2 linked regions of the Rattus norvegicus genome follow. The protein of the gene in region 2 purifies or fractionates together with the protein of the main gene of each other region. This does not show direct contact. Links are inferred from orthologs where the notes say so. Each region holds a gene or a part of one and is shown on either strand. Other genes may lie near its edges. The genes, in order: Tnrc6a and Ago4.

Region 1 (10,703 bases), on a different chromosome or scaffold from region 2:
AATAGGAAAAATACCGAGTTATGGAAAATTAATTAAAGAAGTTTTATTGCTTCACCCCACGTTTTCTAGAATGAGGTATGTGAGTGGTTGACATTGTGTTTACAGTAGTAAAGCAGACATGTTGCTCTAGCTGTGATTTGTCCTTCATGTGGGTGATGAGATGAGTGAGAACGTGTTTGGCAGATGGAGTAGAAGTCTGATGCTCATGGGTGCACATTCATTAATGATAGTAGTGCCCTTTATTGGTGCCTTACATGGATCAGATACAGCTCCTTTAGTCATTAATTCTGTAGCAGTCACGTGAGAGCAGACCCTGCTATCTAGTGAAGGAAACTAAGGCAGACAGAGAGAAGTCTTGCCTTTGGTCTCAGAGTCTGTGTAAGTGGTATAAAATGTCTCTTGGTTTGTTGTTTGTTTTGTTTTGAGACAGGCTCTCTCTGCATAGCCTTGTCTGTTCTGGAACTCAGCCTATAGACCAGGCTGGTCTAGAACCCACAGACATCTGCCTGCTTCTGCCTCCCAAGTATTGGGATTAAAGGCATGCTCCATAATGCCTGACCTTTCGTGGAATTCTTACCTGCTGACAGCAGTTACTAAATGCTTTTCTTAGGTAGTTGATGGTTAGTTGAACAACTAAGTTTATTTAAAGGTTATCCCCATCCTCCTTTTGCTGAATATGATAGCACATGGCTGTAATCATAATCTCAACATTCCTGTGACTAATGCTGAAAGATTGTTCACAAATTCAAGACCAGCCTGGGCTACACAGAGGGACGCCATCTCAGAAATCAAAAGGCCAGGGATAAAGCGCAGTGTTAAAATACTTGCCAGGCATGTAAAGGGTTCAGTCGCTAGCACCTCTGACCCCCAGATGAAAATAACATGACCTCATCACACAGGTTCTTGTCTTCCAGCATCTATGAAGGACCCAAGCTTGAGGCCTGTTGTTGCTAGTGTGTCAGTCCTTTTTTTCTTTTCTTCCCCCCCCCCTTTTTTTTAAAGCTACTTTGTTGTATGGAGGACTGTGATTACCTTGTGTATCTTGTGTGTTCTGTTGCTGTGATGAAACACTGACCAGAATGTAGCTTTGGAAGGAAAGGGTTTAATTTTTGATTGACTTACAGTTCCACATCACTGTTTATCATCAATGGAAATCAGTGTGGGAACTCAAATAGGGCAGGAAACCTGGAAGCAGGAGCTTATGCAGAGTCCACGGAGGGGTGTTGCTTACCCAGTCTTCTTTCTTACAGAACCCAGGACCACTTGCCCAGGGATGGCACCACCCACAGTGGGCCTGGGACTCCCCCATCAATCATTAATCCAGAAAATACCCACAGGCTGATTGGTTTTTGGTTTTCTTTGGTCTTTGGTTTGATTTTAGTTTTGCTTTTTTGAAACAGGGTCTCTCTGTGTAGTACTTGCTATCCTGGAACTTGTTCTATAAGCCAAACTGACCTCAAACTCAGAGATCTGTTTGTGCTTCCCCATGTACCACCAGGTGTAGCTTGGAGACAGTTTCTTAATTGAGGTTCCCTCCTCTTATGATTTTTTAGCTTGTTTGATGTTAACTTAAAACTGTCCAGCACATCTTGCCTCTCTCACTCAGTTTCTGCAAGTTTAACTTTTGTCCCTTGGTTTCTTACATACAAAGTGAGAGCAATACTTGTACTCTACAATTGTTCTAGGCACTTGGTGCAGGGGTTTGCAGACCTGCTCCTGTATATCAGTGAGTGCTGGCCATGGGTTGATACTGCCCCTTTGGGTTGCAGTATAGAATAGTTCTTCCAGGAAGACTGACTTTTTGGTTCTTTAATCATATGGATTCTACATGAGCAATAGAGAAGACAAATATCATTGACTACTTTTGGGGGGAAATGGATGTACAGGGTTCTATCAATTAGTTCTTGCCTGCCTCTGAGTCACAGATCTGCCTCCTGAAGGCTTAGATTAACGGTATAGCCATCACCAGGTACCCACACTGTGATGCAGTAACTGTACAGGGAACAGTAGTTGGTGCACTTGGCAGCACTTACTTAAATTATGTTCACTGGGTATTATTACAGGTTGCTCTCTAGTTGCTCTTCTTGCCCTTCTTACCGCTCTTCATTATTCATTTCTTAGCATTTGTACTTTGAGAGAAAGTGGTACAAGCAGCATCATTTTTCTGTACTAGCAAATCACACTAATAGTGTGACTTTGATTTATTTCTAGACCTTCATCCTGGGAACTATAGTGTAAGCTACCCTTCAAGATAGCCTAAGTGTAGATGTTTTATGAAGTTAATGTCACAGATAAATTTCTATCCACTAGACCCTTAAATGAGATAAACTGAGAAACTAACAAAAATACTTAATGATGTTGTCTATGGGAAAGAATAGAAATAAATAAAGACAGATGGTAGTTAGATGGCAGTCTAATAAGACTTGGTCATATGATTGGTCCCTATGGCCTTCCGTATCAGCTGCTGTAATTTGGTGATTTTTCAACATACCAATTTTTCCCTGTTGTCTCTTACTAAGCATGGCTATGAAAGTAAATTATAAAATTGTTTAAAATTAATGTTCTTCCTTGTGTATAAGCATGGTATTTAAATGTATACACTAATAAAATAGAGATACAGTGCAAAGGCTTTGGGATTCTTACAGAATTGTTCTAACCCAAAGGAGTCGTATGAAAAGCTGTTCTGGGAAACGGAATCATTTTGGTCTGCTTACACTTACCTACTTTTCTGCATCCCAGTCCGTTTTCTCTCACATCAAGTCCTAAGCCTGGATTGTCCTAATTCATCATTACCACCCATTCTTCCTCCCTCTAGAATTCTTGTATTTGTTGGATGTTATCTGTTCATATATTTACATGTATCCCTGTGGGACTTTCTGTTCCATGCTATACTGTAGGGTATTGAGCAAAGCAGCAGAATTCTGTCTGTGAAATTACTGAACATAGAGAATTGGTGGCTGAAAGATAATTAGTGCCTCAAAGCCGTTCTGCGCGGAGCATCTTGCTAATGTTGAGGAACTACATGTATTTGTATGGATCGCCATTTTTATCAACCTACGTGATATCATTTTGGAAATTTGTTAACACTTACAAATAGATATACTTCTCCTTTATTTTAGATATAAATCATAATACTTCAGGATCCCATTATGAAAATTGCCAGCGGGGACCTGTGTCTTCTACAAGTGACTGTAGCACAAGCTGTAAGAATGCTGTAAACGACTTGTTGGAAAAAGAAGCATGGCCCTCAGCCCCTGGCAGTGATCCTGAGTTGGCTTCAGAATGTATAGATGCTGATTCTGCCTCCAATTCTGAGTCAGAGAGAAACATCACTGTCATGGCTTCAGGGAACACAGGTGGTGAGAAAGATGGCCTTCGGAACAGCACTGGACTCGGTCCCCAAAGCAAATTTGTGGTTGGTAGCAGCAGCAATAATGTGGGTCATGGAAGTAGTACTGGGCCATGGGGCTTTCCCCATGGAGCCATAATAAGCACATGTCAGGTCTCTGTGGATGCTCCTGAAAGCAAACCAGAAAGTAGTAACAGTAGAATGAATGCTTGGGGCACTGTAAGTTCTTCATCAAATGGAGGGTTAAATCCAAGCACTTTGAATTCAGCTAGCAACCATGGTGCCTGGCCAGTATTAGAAAACAACGGACTTGCCCTAAAAGGGCCTGTAGGGAGTGGGAATTCTGGCATCAATATTCAGTGTAGTACCATAGGCCAGATGCCTAACAATCAGAGTATCAACTCTAAAGTCAGTGGCTCTTCTACCCATGGTACCTGGGGTAGCCTTCAGGAAACTTGTGAGCCTGAAGTAAGTGGTTCACAGAAGGTTTCATTCAGTGGTCAACCTCAGAATATCACCACTGAAACGACTGGACCAAATAACACTACTAACTTTATGACCTCTAGTTTACCAAACTCCGGTTCAGTACAAAATAATGAACTGCCTACTAGTAATCCAGGGGCCTGGCGTGTGAGCACAATGAATCATCCTCAGATACAGGCTCCGTCAGTTCTGAATGGCACTTCCCTTTCTCACCTTAGTAATGGAGAGTCAAAAACTGGAGGCTCCTACGGTACTACATGGGGTGCCTATGGTTCTAATTACTCTGGCGACAAATGTGCAGGCCCTAATGGCCAAGCCAATGGTGACACTGTGAATGCAACTCTAATGCAGCCTGGCATAAATGGGCCTATGGGCACTAACTTTCAAGTTAGTACAAATAAAGGGGGAGGTGTATGGGAGCCTGGGACAGTGAATTCCCAGAGTTCACCATGGGGAAGTGGAAATGGTGCAAATTCTGGAGGAAGTCGAAGAGGATGGGGAAGTCCTGCACAGAACACTGGCACTAGTCTGTCCAGTGTTGAGTGGAACAAACTGCCTAGCAACCAGCATTCCAATGACAGTGCAAATGGCAATGGTAGTAAGAAACTTACAAATGGATGGAAATCTACTGAGGAAGATGATCAGGGTTCTGGCACATCTCAGACGAATGAGCAAAACAGTGTGTGGGCCAAAGCAGGAGGCACAGTGGAGAGTGATGGTAGTGCAGAGAGCACTGGACGCCTTGAAGAAAAAGTAACCGGGGAAAGCCAGAGTAGAGATAGAAGAAAAATTGATCAGCACACATTACTCCAAAGCATTGTAAACAGAACTGACTTAGATCCACGTGTCCTATCCAATTCTGGGTGGGGACAGACTCCTATTAAGCAGAATACTGCCTGGGATACAGAGACATCACCAAGAGGGGAAAGAAAGACTGACAATGGGACAGAGGCCTGGGGAAGCTCTGCAACACAGACTTTTAACTCAGGGGCATGTACAGATAAGACTAGCCCTAATAGTAATGATACCTCATCTGTATCAGGGTGGGGTGATCCCAAACCTACTCTGAGGTGGGGAGATTCCAAAGGCTCAAACTGCCAGGGGGGGTGGGAAGATGATTCTGCTGCTACAGGAATGATCAAGAGCAATCAGTGGGGGCATTGCAAAGAAGACAAGTCTGCATGGAATGATTCGCAAAAGAACAAACAAGGCTGGGGCGATGGACAAAAGTCAAGCCAAGGTTGGTCCGTTTCTGCCAGTGATAACTGGGGAGAATCTTCCAGGAGTAACCATTGGGGTGAGGCTAATAAGAAATCCAGCTCAGGAGGCAGTGACAGCGACAGGTCCATTTCTGGTTGGAACGAACTTGGTAAAACTAGTTCTTTTACTTGGGGAAATAATATAAATCCAAATAACTCATCAGGATGGGATGAATCTTCTAAACCTAACTCTTCCCAGGGATGGGGAGACCCTCCAAAGTGTAATCAGTCCCTAGGTTGGGGAGATTCATCAAAACCAGTTAGTTCTCCAGATTGGAACAAGCAACAAGACATTGTTGGATCGTGGGGAATCCCACCAGCCACCAGCAAGCCTCCTGGTACAGGCTGGCTTGGGGGACCTATTCCTGCTCCAGCAAAGGAGGAAGAACCCACAGGCTGGGAGGAACCATCCCCAGAGTCTATACGACGAAAAATGGAGATCGATGATGGAACTTCAGCTTGGGGAGATCCAAGCAAATACAACTACAAAAATGTGAACATGTGGAATAAAAACATCCCAGAAGGCAGCAGCCGCTCAGACCAGCAAGCACAGATGCACCGGTTGTTGCCGGCTGCAAGTGCCATCTCAAGCAAGGAGACCAGCAGTGGCTCTGGTAAGCGTTCCTATGTGGAGTGCAGTGGTATTGTGGAAGCAAGCTTTGTGTTGACATGCAGTCATAAGATTTGTGTATCACAGTTCTTGAGCGTGCACATCAAGGCCTTTCAGCTGTGACCTAGAGGTGAAGTCTACCAGGCAACAGCTCTGTCTTGGGAGTGTTGCCCTATTCTGTTAGGAATGTAGTAGAAGGGACTGAGTGGCAGAGTTACGTACTTATTTAGGTATTCTTAACCAAGCCTTAATAATGTGGTTTCACTATTGAAGTACAATAAAGCCAAGTGCCTGAGTACAGTACTCTGGATATTTGATATTATGTTTGACCTTAGTGGGTTTCCTAAATGAGGCATGAAGTCAGCATCTACTCAGATAACTGGATACAGTGTGTGCATCTGAAGCATTGCACTGCTTTCTAGTATGCTCGACCTTTCCTCTCCTGTACTGAGCAAAGTCTTTTCTCTGTAAATTGATAGGGCAACATTTTGTAAATGTGACAGGCCCACAATGCCTTTGTTAATGGGGAGGTTTTTTGTTTTTGTTTTTTTTTTTTTGGTTCTTTTTTTCGGAGCTGGGGACCGAACCCAGGGCCTTGCGCTTCCTAGGCAAGCGCTCTACCACTGAGCTAAATCCCCAACCCCGTTAATGGGAGTTTTATTGAGTAACGCTGCATTGGTTAGAGAGCTGGTAATGTTTTCAGGAATTCTTCTTTTAGTGCCTAATTTTGTGGGGTTTTTGTTTTGTTTTGAAATACAAGCCTATTCTATTGATTTATGTTTAACTCTTAGGGAAAGTGTAGACCTCTTTTCCCGTGTGTATAAGGTAGGCTGGCTGTTTACTTGATGGTAGTCATAGTCAGTTGTTGTCCACTACAGTGCTATGGGAAGAGTGTCCTTTCAGTAAAATGTAATTAGTGTAACTTTACACTGCACCTGCCTCAGGTCTCAAGCTTTGGTTCAGAAGAACCTGACGTTTTTAGGAAGATGATTTGCTATATTAAATTATTCAAAAGAGTCTCCTCTTACACCAGATGGCAGTTTTGAAAGAAAAGGTTAAAACGTTATACAGTTATATTAATGCAGAATAATTTGTGTTCTTCACAAAATATGCCTCTTGCTTGTCACAGCATCATTTTTCAGTTGTGTGATGTGAAATTCTTCATCTCGCTTCCCAAGTCCTCTTCCTTGTGTCCTTTATTTAAGGTGTTTCCTAATGTCTATGCTGATGACTTTTTTTCCCATGCTTTCTAAAGGCTGGGGTGAGCCTTGGGCAGAGCCTTCTACTCCAGCCACGACTGTGGATAATGGTACTTCAGCCTGGGGCAAGCCCATAGACAGTGGTCCCAGCTGGGGAGAACCCATTACTGCAGCATCCAGTGCATCCACGTGGGGCTCCAACTCTGTTGGTCCACAATCATTAAGCAAATCTGGTAAGTCATCTGTGATTGTTAGCAGCCATTTTGTAGTGCTGATGATAAACTCATGAACTACATTTAAAAAATGGGCTAGTGCTTCTAAATTGTCACTACTGATGTATTTCTCAAAAGTAACTAAGAATAATTTACATATCCTCCACTAAATCTAAATTCTTTTGTTTGATTATTTAAAACTGAATGTAGCAGCTTTTATGCCATTCAGCTTGAGAGACTAGATAATATAATGTGAGACACGTGTCCAAACCATCAAATCTTAGAAGGGAAGGACCCTGAAATGTACATGAATATTGTTCCTCTACCATGTTGGGCTCAGGACACATTATGGGAGCCCCAAGGCCTGTGTGTGTAGAGATAGATGTTTGTTCTACTGTGGCTTCAGTACCCTTTGAACAGCCTTGTAGAGAATAATAGTATAGACAATTGTCTTTTCCACCTCATTCACCCTCTGTTCTTTGTATCATTTTAAAAAACCAAGTAGGTATGCATAAGAAACCACTATTGCTCATGATTAGAAATCCTAAGATTTATGAAGACATGGAAAGTTTCATTGGATGTTTAAATAAGTTCTTTCCAGTGTCTTTGAATATAGTCAAAAAGCACCTTTTCTGTTACATGCATTTGAGAAGTAAAGATGTGTATGGTTTAGCTCCTATGTCTCTGTACTTTGAAACATGCCTGACTCTTGGAGAATTTTTTTCATAAATTCTGTTCGCCTTTGTATCATAAATCTACAAATCAGGACCCAAATCTATGCAAGATGGCTGGTGTGGTGAGGACACGCCATTGCCTGGAAGTCGCCCCACTGGCTGGGAAGAGGAGGAGGATGTAGAGATTGGGATGTGGAACAGTAGCTCATCTCAAGAGCTTAACTCATCCTTAAACTGGCCACCATATACCAAGAAAATGTCATCCAAGGTAAACATTTCAAGAGCTTTGCTCTTGCAACTTCAAATCTCCAAGGTAGTTTACCCACAGAAAATTAATCTATCTGCCCGTTTATGGCAGTCAGTACAGTCCAGGCAGCCCCCAATTTAGGTATAGCCTCTTGAATGGGCAGCTACCTAGAAAAACAGACCATGGGAACTTCCTTTCTCCCCACTGCTACAGCTCAGGATTTCTCTACTCCTCAGCTCCACCAGTACTGCCTGGGGCAACAAGCCCCACGTGGTGCCAGCAGTGGTGAGGATGAAGAGAAGGGCAAATCCATGTTGACTTTCCATTTCACTGCCAGTCCATCTCCATCATCCATTAACCTCCTCACCCAGAGTCACCATTCTGTTTATTCACTAACCATCATTGTCCCTTTCTCATCCCCAAGGTCCTGTGATGAAAATCCCTAGGAAGGGTTTCCATACCCGGCTTTACATGAGAAATGGGTTGCACTTGTTAAAAACATAGTCTGCTATACCCTAAGGTCTTCTCAAGTTTTGGAAATTGCAGCAGCTCAACGAATATGTCTGATGTTGAGCCAGGTTCAGGAACCACTGGGTCCTGGGAAGTAGTAATATTTGGGCCTGGGGGCTGGAGGTAGATTCTCCTGGGGACATCTTTCTTTTAAAATAGGTGCCCAGTCTCACAAGCAACTTCAAACTGTCCTCATCACCCTATTTGAGAATGATTACCTTTTGAGGCCCTTGAAAAGTCATATATTTGGTGGGTACTTGGCCTAACTCAAAGCCAAGGTTGGTCCGTTTTAATCCTGGGATTCAAAGTCTAGGACCTGCCATTTTCATTTTATAATTTCTTCCATTTGGCTGGATTTGCCTATTGATGCCTGGCCATGTAGCTTATGACATGCTTGTACATGTTTTACATGAATCATTTGATCCTCATAACCTTCTGAGATACGCTACTGAGGAGGAAGTTGAGACTGGAGAAGGTGGTGACTGGCCCAAAGTTGCATAAGTAGTAAGTGATACAGCAAGGACTCAGCTTAGATCTTGCGATTCAACACCTTGTTCTTCCCACTGGACCATGCTGTTTTGTGACTTTGTCTTTCCTTACAGGGTCTGAGTGGCAAAAAAAGGAGAAGGGAAAGGGTGTGTAGCCTTTTTACTCTTTCTCCTTTGTTTCTACTAGTAAAAATCTTTAGAGAGCAACTGCAAACTCTTATTTAGCTTCTGCTGTGTGCCAGGTACTGTGCTTGGTGCTGGGGTTCAATACACTGAAGAGCAGCCCCTTCAGGGCGTCTATTCTCTGGTGGGGCATCAGGCAAGCACACATGTGCTGGGATGTAGAAGATGCCTGGGGTGGCCTGATAGAACTGAAAGATTTCTAAAAATGACAGAGAAAGCTGGCTCTGTAATTAGAGGAAAGATAAATAGGAACTTTATTATTGGCGAAGTAAGGAGCCAGTGAAATTGATAAGAAGGCAATTTACCATGGCTTAAAGAAAAAAACTTTTTATTCAAAGAATGCTGACTAATGTTGGTGTGAAATACCAGTTGCAGTAGAGAAAAACCAGAGGTAGGGATCTCAAGAGGCTGCTACATCATCCCAGGTGGAAAGGAAGAACAGTTAGAAATACATTTAAGAATAGAAGGGGCAGGGACTGACAGCTGTTCAGACCATGGGAGGAAGTGGAAAGGGGAAACAGGGAAAAGAGGCGCCTTCAGCATCTTTGGAGAAGGTTAGGTGCTTGCTTTAGAGACGATCTGCCTTTGTGGGGAGTTAAGCTGTGCTCTTTCACAGTCAGAAGGAACAGGTAACAGCATTGGGAAAGGACATTAATACACTGAGATGGTCCTGTGGTCATCATGTCAGTGTGAGGCCTAGGTCTCTGTGGCTCCCAGCCTCTCTCTGTGACTGCTGCCAGTTCTCAGTTGTAATATCTGTACTGCTCAACCTACCACAGCAGCCCAACTGCTGCTCAGGATATCATGTTCTTAACAACAAAAGGAAAGCATTAAAGACACTATTGTGTGGAAACATTTTAGTAAAGTGTTCCTTCATGATTAAATTATGGATTAAATTAGTTTGTTAGGACTAAGCTGAGAATCTAATTTTTACTTTGGTATGAGAGTTCCAAAACCCCAAATGATGATACATGTCAAGGAGCACAGTCCATCTATGAGGCGGGAATGTCCCACGGTCCTCCATTGCTTTTGTCTTTTCCTTCTGACTGCCTGCCTTTAGAGATCTCTCTGTACATTACAGCTATACCAGAGGCCTGGAGCAAAGGAAGTTGAAAATCAAATGAGTTTATTTATTTAATTGTTAACACCTCTGATAAGAGTTGATTGAAGGAGAAAATATTGGCTAAAAATGAGAGTTGGGAATTGTCTTAAAGTTTTACTAGTCCATCATGATGTCTAGATAATTAGAGATGGCCATGGCATCTTCTCTACTCTTTTATTTACAAAGGGAATGATGAAAGGCGGAAACAAACAAGAGGACGCGTGGATAAACCCATTCGTTAAGCAGTTTTCAAATATCAGTTTTTCAGTAAGTATATTTTCTTAGCAGCCAATAATTCCCTTTTTAGTAGTGACTCATAATATATCCTAGTTTTGTTTTATTTTATTAAAAACTATTTCTTGGGCTGAAGAGATGGCTCAGTGGTTA
Region 2 (10,703 bases):
CTTCTGGGTCTCCCTTCAGGTCTTTTACTCCTTCAGTTACTTTCTGTTGGGAGGCATGCACATGCCACAGTGCATGTGAGTTGGTTCTCGGTCCCCCACATGGCTTCCAGACATGGAATTTGGGGCATCAAACTTGTTGGCAAGCGCGTTTTCCCACTGAGCCATTTGGCAAGCTTCCTCCTCTTCCTGCTGCTCTCCCCTCCTCTCTATGGGGCCTTCACTCAGGGCTGCACACGTGACCGGTTACAGTGTCCACAATCAGTGAGTCTGCTGGCAGTTACAGGTTGGAGGAGCACGGGTTACAATGATTCCGTCATCTTTGCATGTATTCCATATTTTACATTCGCAGGAGCAAAGTACTGCCTACCAACAGGCTTCTCACAGCTTCACTTACGAAAGCAAAACCACAGTGCACTCTGAAACAGTCATGCTAGTAGTAAAAGCATGGTGGTGCGCATCTTTAATCCCGGCCTCAGGAGACAGAGAGTTCCAAACCTGTGTGCTCTACCCAGGAAATTCCTGACCAGCCAGGGTGGTAAGACCCCGAGTTAAATAAAAGCAAACAAACCGGGGCTGGGGATTTAGCTCAGTGGTAGAGCGCTTACCTAGGAAGCGCAAGGCCCTGGGTTCGGTCCCCGGCTCCGAAAAAAAGAACCAAAAAAAAAAAAAAAAAAAAAAAAAAAAGCAAACAAACCAAAAACAAAGAGTAAAAATTATTTTTTAAAAGTATATGTTTTAATTACATTTATGCAAATGAACGTGCGTGAATGTGTACACCTGTACATCAGAAGAGGGCATCGCATTTTCTGGAGCTGCAGTTACAGTGGATTGTAAGCCTTTTAAAAGTAGGGATGCTGGGGCTGGAGAGATGGCTCAGTGGTTAAGAGCACTGGCAGCTCTTCCAAAGGTCCTGAGTTCAAATCCCAGCAACCATATGGTGGCTCATAACCATCTGTAATGAGATCTGATGCCCTCTTCTGGTGTGTCTGAAGACAGCTACAGTATACTTATAAATAAATAAATCTTAAAAAAAAAAGTTTAAAAAAAAAAAAAGTAGGGATGCTGAAGTGACTTGGTGGGTATAGTGTAATCCAAGCCAGAAAATTTGGATTCAGTCCCTGGGAACCCATGTGGTAGGAGGAGAACTGACTTCCACAGGTTGTCCTCTGATGTCCACATGTGTGCCATACCACATACTCACCTACAAACATGAACATGTACATACACGTAAAGGAATGGATAAATAACTATGTAGTGAACATTTGCAGAAGGCACTGAAGAGATGGCTCAGCCATTAAGAGCACTTGCTGCCATTTCCAAGGACTGAGGTTGGCTCCCAGGACTGAGGTTGACTCCCAGGACTGAGGTTGGCTCCCAGGACTGAGGTTGACTCCCAGGACTGAGGTTGGCTCCCAGGACTGAGGTTGACTCCCAGGACTGAGGTTGGCTCCCAGGACTGAGGTTGACTCCCAGGACTGAGGTTGGCTCCCAGGACTGAGGTTGGCTCCCAGGACTGAGGTTGACTCCCAGGACTGAGGTTGACTCTCAGGGCTGACACTGGGCGGCATAGCTGCCCGTAACTTCAACTCCAGGAAGTCCATCTCTCCCGGCTTCCATCGGAGCCTGCACTCATACACAAAAGTAGATAAGAAAGAAAATATTTTAAAAGTACTTTTAAATTTAAAAATGTAGCGTTGGAGAGATGGCTAAGTGGTTAAGAATCATTGTTCTTCCCAAGGATCCAGATTCAATTCCCAGCAACCACATGGTGGCTCACAGCCATCTGTAACGGGATCCGATGCCCTCTTCTGGTGTGCCTGAAGACAGTGACCATATACTCACATACATAAATAAATCTTTACAAAATTTATGACTACTATGTGAATATATGTTCCTTTTAAACTTATTAGGCAATTCACAAAAGCTATGACTTCTTGACTTTCCTACATGCCAGTTCCATTCTCCTTGTAAAGGAGCATCCCACATTAGTTCATTACTTGTCATTAGATATTTCACGTTATCTTTTTGCATGTATGCTTATGCTTATTTGTTGTATGTATTTGTTGATTTTTTCACTAAACAGTATGTCTAGGTGTTGTTTCCATTCATATACAATTTGATACCCCTTAACTATATTTTCTAATCCAAGACAATTTTTGGGGGGATATGTCTCAGTTTGGCCTTAAATTCATGGTCCTCCTGCATCAACCTCCTGATTGCTGGGATTGTAGGCACGAGCAGCCACTCTGTTGTTGGGTTGGTTTTATTTATTTATTTATCTTTTTTTTTTTTTTTGGTTCTTTTTTTTCGGAGCTGGGGACCGAACCCAGGACCTTGCGCTTCCTAGGCAAGCCCTCTACCACTGAGCTAAATCCCCAACCCCTATTTATTTATCTTGATGTTTATTTTGATCTCACATCTTTTTAAAAAGAATTATTTATTTATTTGATTATGTGAGCACACTGTAGCTGTCTTCAGAAACACCAGAAGAGTATTCACATAGTGTACTTGCAACCACCATCTACTCTAGAATTTTTCTGTTATTTTAAACAGAAATTCTCTACCCACTAAGCAATAGTTCTCATACCTCCCTGCCACCTGCTCTGGAACCCACTATTCTACCTTCCGTTTCTGTGAATTTGTCCATTCTGAGTACCTCATTAAGTAGTTCTTATATTTGTCTTTCCATGTCAGGTTTATTTCACTTAGGACAATAATAAAGTTCATATGCAATATATTGTCTTCCTTATTTATTTATTTTTAAATTTTTACTTATTTACTTTTGCATATGTATGTATTATGTATGTATGTGTGTATGTATGTATTATGTCTGTATGTATTATGTATGTATGTATGTGTGATGTATGTATGTGTATATGTATGTATATATGTGTGTATGTATGTCTGTATGTATGCATGTGTGCATGTGTGTATGATGGGTTCATGCCTGCTGTGGCGTACATATGGAAGTTAGAGGATAACTTATGTGAGTTGGTTCTTTCCTTCTACCATGAGGTGCTCAGGACTAAACTCAGGTCATTGGGTTGGGTAGTAATATCATTTACCTACTATGTCATTTCTCTGGCCCCTTATCTTTAATTATTGTATAATATTTTCTATTAAATTAGTTCTTTATTTATGGAAAATTAAATTGTTTCCCACGGTCTGCAGTTATAAAAACTGTTAAGATAAATATTCATCATGCGTATGCCATCTGGAATATTTTTGGGGTCTTTCCTACAACTATTGTAAACCTGTATGTATTTTCCACTAGGTTGATATGGAGGTGACCCTCCCAGGTGAGGGCAAGGACCAAACGTTCAAAGTGTCAGTGCAATGGGTGTCAGTTGTGAGCCTTCAGCTGCTTTTAGAAGCTTTAGCTGGACACCTGAGTGAAGTCCCAGATGACTCAGTACAAGCCCTTGACGTGATTACAAGGCATCTCCCCTCTATGAGGTCAGTACCTTACTTTGGATCCCTCCCCACAAATGTCAGGCTTTTTGACAGAATGTTCTTACCATGCAAAGGTTCCAACATAAGGCACCATTCAAACTTGATTTCAGTTCACAAACTGACGTCAAAATGTTTTGCATGAAGTATTCAAACCTTTGTCTCTTCAGGTACACTCCAGTAGGCCGGTCTTTTTTCTCACCTCCTGAAGGTTACTACCACCCTCTGGGAGGGGGCAGAGAGGTCTGGTTCGGCTTTCACCAGTCTGTGCGCCCTGCCATGTGGAAGATGATGCTCAACATTGATGGTGGGTTGGAGCTCCATCTGCTAACTCTGGTTTTTGGTCGATTAGTTTGGGCCCTTCACTTTGCCTTGATGCTAAGTATCCTTTCTCTGCTTGTTAGTATCTGCAACTGCTTTCTACCGGGCTCAGCCCATCATTGAGTTCATGTGTGAGGTTTTAGACATCCAGAACATCAACGAGCAGACGAAACCTCTAACAGACTCCCAGCGTGTCAAGTTTACCAAAGAAATCAGGGGTAGGTATTCCTGGTAATGTCATTGTGGCATGAGTGTAACACAGTAAGATCATCTGGGCTTGAGCCACATAGACCTGGGTTGCCTTCCTAGCCTACATAGTCCCAGCAAGTGGGACCCTGTGTTAGCCATAAAGTCAGTATACACTCAGACTTGGAAATACACACCAGAGCATACTGATACTTAAACAAACTTACTGAATGAACTAGTAAGGTCAGTTATGTAGCCAGGCATGGTATTGCATGCCTGCAGCCTCAGCAATCGTGAAACTGTGACCAGAAGATCACAAGATCGAGGCTAATCTGAGCCATGTAGAAGATCCTGTCTCAAAAAAAAAAAAAATTGGTTGAACATCTTAGATCATCCGGGACCTAATTTAGAGCTTACTTAGCTAAGACTTTTTGCCATAATATGATTAAATTGCTGCAACTTTTATTCTGTATTAAGTATTGACTTTTATGTGTATTCGGAGAAATCTCTATTATCTGCATGAGGATTCTTTCCAGAGTAACGTACTTCTGACTTTTTTTTTTTTTGACAGAGTCTCACTTTATAGCTTTGGCTATCTTAGAACTCCCTCTAAAGACCAGGCTGGCCTCTAACTTATGCAGATCCGCCTTCCTCTGCCTCCTGAGTGCTGGGATTAAAGATGTGTCCCATCATCCCATCTCCCATCGTGCCCTGCCACTCCTTGACTTTTTTTTTTCTTTTCTCGGAGCTAGGGAACCGAACCCAGGGCCTTGCGCTTACTAGGCAAGCGCTCTACCACTGAGCCTAATCCCCAACCCACTCCTTGACTTTTTAAAGGCAGCATTCAAATCTAGTTTTGTAACTATGATTTTAATTAAAATTGATATTTTAATTTTTTTTTTCCTTTTAACTCTTCAGGTCTTAAAGTTGAGGTGACTCACTGTGGACAGATGAAACGAAAATATCGAGTTTGTAATGTGACAAGACGACCAGCCAGTCATCAAACGTATGTGGATCACATGTAAAACAATTTGGGAGCCATACATGATGGTTTAGCCCTGTAATCTCAGTACTTGAGAGACTGAGGCAGGAGGATTGTTGTGAGTTTGAGTCTAGCCTGAGTCAAGAGACCCTGTCTCAAAAAAAGAAAAATCACAAAACGAATGAAAAAGACAATAAAGGAAACCAAAATTAACAGTAAAATTTGGTATCAACTTGATAACAGAGGACACTACTGAACATCATTGGGGAAGATGGGACACAGTAGTGTGGTTTTCAGCACTACAAGAGTCTTTCACTTATCAAAGCTTTAAAAAATATTTTAGGAACTTGTGATTTAGTTCACCTTTTGAACCAAGTGTACTAAACATAGATCGACTTCTGTTTGAGAATGTAATCAGGGCCTGGAGAGATGGCCAATCCATACCGTGCCTACTGTAGAGCATGAGCACATGAGTTCAGATCCCCATTACCCACATAAAGGCTAGGCGTGGTGCTGAACATCTGCCATTCTAGCGCCAGTCGGGTTGAGAAGATCCCTGAGCCGCTCATCAACCAGCCGAGCCACCGGGTGCACTTCACATTCAGGGAGAGACTGCCTCAAACAGTCAATTGGAGAGTGATACAAGACACTACGTGCTGGGCTGGAGAGATGGCTCAGCGGTTAAGAGCACCCGACTGCTCTTCCAGAGGTCATGAGTTCAATTCCCAGCAACCACATGGTGGCTCACAACCATCTGTAAAGGGATCTGATGCCCTCTTCTGGTGTATCTGAGGACAGCTACAGTGTACTTGTATATAATAAATAAATAAATCTTTAAAAAAAAAAAAAAAAAAAAAAAAGATGCTACGTGCTGACCCCTGGCCTCCATATGCACACACACATACACACACAAAAATGCACACATACCAAATACATGTACATGCAAACACAGTTAAAGCTTTTAAAAAAGGAATATAATAGTTATTGTAATCAATTACTATACTATAATCAATTACTATACTGTAATTCTGAGTACAGGCTGACCCTACCAGGGTCTAGGCATCCTACAGGCCATTATGGGAAGACAAATACTGCTTTGCATATTTGTGTAGTTGTCTCTCCCTTCCTTTATAGCTCGATGTTACTCTCAGCTATTAGTGTCTGTCTCCAGCAGTGCATTCTTTTTTTTTTCCTTCATCTTTATTAACTTGGGTATTTCTTATTTACATTTCGATTTTTTTTAAAGATTTATTTATTTATTATAGATGAGTACACTGTAGCTGTCTGCAGATTCACCAGAAGAGGGCACCAGATCTCATTACAGATGGTTGTGAGCCACCATGTGGTTGCTGGGATTTGAACTCAGGACCTCTGGAAGAGCAGTCAGTGCTCTTAACCGCTAAGCTATCTCTCCAGCCCCCTACATTTCGATTTTTATTCCCTTTCCCGGTTTCCGGGCCAACATCCCCCTAACCCCTCTCCCTCCCCTTCTCTATGGGTGTTCCCCTCCCCACCCTCCCCCCCTTACCACCCTCCCTCCAGCAATCACGTTCACTGGGGGTTCAGTCTTGGCAGGACCAAGGGATTCCCCTTCCACTGGTGCTCTTACTAGGCCATTCATTGCTACCATGGAGTCCACGGTCAGTCCATGTATAGTCTTTAGGTAGTGGTTTAGTCCCTGGAAGCTCTGGTTGGTTGGCATTGTTGTTCATATGGGGTCTCGAGCCCCTTCAAGCTCTTTCAGTCCTTTCTAAGATTCCTTCAACAGGGGTCCCGTTCTCAGTTCAGTGGTTTAATGATGGCATTCGCCTATGTATTTGCTGTATTCTGGCTGTGTCTCTCAGGTTTCTGTCAGCCTGCACTTCTTTGCTTCATCCATCTTATCTAGTTTGGTGGCTGTATATGTATGGGCCACATGTGGGGCAGGCTTTGAATGGGTGTTCCTTCTGCCTCTGTTCTAAACTTTGCCTCCCTATTCCTTCCCAAGGGTATTCTTGTTCCCCTTTTAAAGAAGGAGTGAAGCATTTGCATTTTGGTCATTCTTCTTGAGTTTCATGTGTTCTGTGCATCTAGGGTTATTCAAGCATTTGGGCTAATATCCACTTATCAATGAGTGCATACCATGTGTGTTTTTCTGTGATTGGGTTATCTCATTCAGGATGATATTTTCCAGTTCCATCCATTTGCCTCAGCAGTGCATTCTTTTCCTCTTACTCAATCTTGCTTTTCTAATCACACAACTTGTGGTACATTGGGTACTATGCCTAAGTGAGAATATGTGTGGAAGTGCACGTACACTTACTGCATATGGTAGATTCATTCTTGTCATCAGGATCACTAACCTTTTGTCTGACAAGAGAAAAAGATTGGTTCTTGGCTCTCCTAAATGAGTAGTGTTAAATTATATTAATTATATACTATTTTGCTTATGCAGAATTTCTTTTCTTGTCAGTATACTTTGTGTCAATGGTATTCCCCCCCCCCCCGTGTGTGTGTGTGTGTGTGTGTGTGTGTGTGTGTGTGTGTGTGTGTTTGTGTGTGTGTGTGTTCACATGGGCATCCATATGCCATAGCATCCATGTGGAGGAAAGAGGATAACTTTTAGGAGTTGGTATTCTTTCTAGTATATGATCCAGGGATTGAACTCAGGATATAGGGCTTGCAAAGTGAGGGTTTTTTTTTTTTTTTTCATACCTCCTAATCTATCTCCCTAAACTGTGTATTTAGTCTTGTTGCCTCCATACTACATAATTTGCCCTGGCTAGAAATCTCAAATCTTGGAGATCTAAAAAATGTGGCCTCAATAACTATAGTCATTCACTTAGAAAAAGTTCATCTTGAGCAAATAAAATTATGTGGATGACTCCAAGTATATATCTCAGTAGCCAGCAGGGTAAAGAGGCCCCATGATTAGAAGAACTTGTTATTCTTGCAGAAAATCTGGGTACATTTCCTAGCACCCACATGGCAGCTCACAGCTGTCCATAACTAAAGTTCCAAGGGATCAGTGGCCCTCTACTAACCTCTGAGGCAGGTGGCGTGTACATGGTGGGCAGAAATACATCCAGTCTAGCCTCAAACATGAAGAGGTTCTCCTGCCTCATTCTCTGGAGTACTAGGGTTTCAGGTATGAGCCCCCCAGACCTAGATCTTCTTTTGTGTGGGGAAAAAAATAAATTTTGAATTAAAATTTTTTTTTTTTTAGATTTATTCATTTATTATATATAAGTACACTGTAGCTGTCTTCAGATACACCAGAAGAGGGCATCAGATCTCTTTACAGATGGTTGTGAGCCACCATGTGGTTGCTGGGAATTGAACTCATGACCTCTGGAAGAGCAGTCGGGTGCTCTTAACCGTTGAGCCATCTCTCCAGCCCTAAAATTTTTTTTAGCTTCAACAAAAATTGAAATTTCAGTGAAAATTTTCTGGTACAATACTAAAATGACTTCACTGAAAGTACTCAGCCTTTTTTTTTTTTTTTTTTTTTTTTTTTTTTTTTTTTGGTGGTGGTGCTGGGGATTGAACAAAAGGCTTTATGCATTCTGCACAGTCACTGTTTATTTGTTTGTATGCACCCCCACACACACATACACATGTACGGAACAGCTCATGGGAGTTGGCTCTGTCCTTCCATTGCATGGGTCCCAGGGATTGAACTCAGGTTGTCAGCCTCGGTAGCAAGCATCTTCACCTAATGAGCTATCTTGCTGCCTCCCCAAACCCCTTTTTGAGAGTCTTATGTAGTCCAGGATGGCCTAAAACTTACTATGTAAGTGAGGATGACATTGAACTCCTGATTCTCTGCCTACATCTCCTAAGGGCTGGACCTACAGGCATGTACCACTGTTTATTTCAGTGGCCTATGGAGTGCTGGGGACCAAACACAGGGCTCTGCACACGTTAAACAAGCTTTCTCCCCACTGAGCCACATCCTCAGCCCCTGGCCTTTGTTTCTTAAGTGACTAATCAACATAGAAAATGTTAGTAGCTGGTAGAGAGCTTACCTAGGAAGCGCAAGGCCCTGGGTTCGGTCCCCAGCTCCAAAAAAAAAAAAAAAAAAAAAAAAAAAAAGAAAAAAGAAAATGTTAGTAGGTTTTGTTTACTTGTTAAAGAAGTAAAAGTTTTAAATAGACTTTCTTTCCTTTAGCTTCCCTTTGCAGCTAGAAAATGGTCAAGCTATGGAATGTACAGTAGCTCAGTATTTTAAGCAAAAATATAATCTGCAGCTGAAATACTCCCATCTTCCCTGCCTTCAAGTGGGACAAGAGCAAAAGCATACATACCTGCCACTTGAGGTAAGCCGAATGACATTTTCTTTTGCTAATCTCTTGAATTAATTTTTCTTGTGTTCAGACTGGGTGGGTCTTGCTGCATGCCTTTAATCCCAGCACTCGGGAGGCAGAAACAGCAGGATCTCTGTGAGTTAGAGTCTAGCCTGGTCTATAAAGTGAATTCCAGGATAGCTAGGGCTACACCGAGAAAACCTGTCTTTAAAAAAAACCAAAGTAGGGGTTGGGGATTTAGCTCAGTGGTAGAGTGCTTGCCTAGGAAGCGCAAGGCCCTGGGTTCGGTCCCCAGCTCCAAAAAAAAAAAAAAAGAACCAAAAAAAAAAAAAAAAAAACCAAAATAGTATAAACTTGTGGCAGAATTTAGTCCTTTTGAAGTATCTTGTGCACATAAATTTATTATGTAACTATTTTTTCCTAGAACTAGACAAGGACTTCATGTATAGAACCCCATTTCTACAACACCTAGCTTCTCTTTGTTTCTTCGCAGGTCTGTAATATAGTAGCAGGGCAGAGATGTATAAAGAAGCTCACAGACAACCAGACATCCACCATGATCAAAGCCACAGCGAGATCTGCTCCTGACAGACAGGAGGAAATCAGTAGACTGGTCAGTAAGGCGTAGTCTTCAAGATTAGCCAGCTGTGAGCTCAAAACAAAACAAAAAGGCCCCCCAAAACAGAATAAACAGCTCCGGAGGGGACACAGTTCCTGTTTGCTCTTATGTATGCAGGCTTTTCTGTTCCTTAGGTGAAGAGCAACAGCGTGCTGGGTGGACCTGACCCATACCTGAAGGAATTTGGGATCGTTGTGCACAATGAGATGACGGAACTCATGGGCAGGGTGCTTCCGGCGCCAATGCTGCAGTATGGAGGCCGGGTAAGCTGCTTCCGTACCAATCAAAAAAGCTGCACCTTTGAATTTGCCTGTAGTCGTGCTCACTACTGCTTCTGACTTCTCACTGTACCACATAAAGTTTTGTTTGTTCCCCCTTCAACATAAAAATGGTCTTAGATTGTAATATCTTTTCTCTTTCTTTTGTTTCTTTTTTGTTTTTTGTTTTTAAAGAATAAAACAGTAGCCACACCCAACCAGGGTGTCTGGGACATGCGAGGAAAGCAGTTTTATGCTGGCATTGAAATTAAAGTATGGGCAGTGGCTTGTTTTGCGCCTCAGAAACAATGTAGGGAAGATTTGCTAAAGTGAGTATCCTGTTTTCAGCTCAGTAATACCCCTTCTAGATACGAAATATCATCTTTCTGTGTCTGTGCTGGGTACACCGGCACTGACCCCCTGATGCCCACAGTGATGCCATCTGGCTCCACAGAAAAGACCCTGCGCTATATCGTAAACTAAGAACTCTTTGGGAGTCTGACTCAGCTTCTGCATATTTCAAGTAGAAACTCGTGAAGTAATTCATCAGAAGCTGTGAGGCAGACAGAGCAGGAACAGTGCTATTTGGAACACTCTCCAGC

What was found.
Region 1: the proteins of Ago4 (region 2) and Tnrc6a purify together in Homo sapiens (co-immunoprecipitation; 4 studies listed by BioGRID and IntAct, with this or other methods). This does not show direct contact. The link is inferred for Rattus norvegicus from reciprocal best matches to the Homo sapiens genes AGO4 and TNRC6A.

Annotation. Positions count from the first base shown.
Region 1 is NC_086019.1:187,118,345-187,129,047, forward strand, and holds part of Tnrc6a (trinucleotide repeat-containing gene 6A protein), read left to right. Parts: intron 1-3,119; coding exon 3,120-5,705; intron 5,706-6,956; coding exon 6,957-7,133; intron 7,134-7,878; coding exon 7,879-8,054; intron 8,055-9,145; coding exon 9,146-9,178; intron 9,179-10,502; coding exon 10,503-10,583; intron 10,584-10,703.
Region 2 is NC_086023.1:144,086,580-144,097,282, reverse strand, and holds part of Ago4 (protein argonaute-4), read left to right. Parts: intron 1-3,274; coding exon 3,275-3,456; intron 3,457-3,620; coding exon 3,621-3,757; intron 3,758-3,854; coding exon 3,855-3,989; intron 3,990-4,875; coding exon 4,876-4,963; intron 4,964-9,089; coding exon 9,090-9,237; intron 9,238-9,718; coding exon 9,719-9,838; intron 9,839-9,978; coding exon 9,979-10,107; intron 10,108-10,296; coding exon 10,297-10,430; intron 10,431-10,703.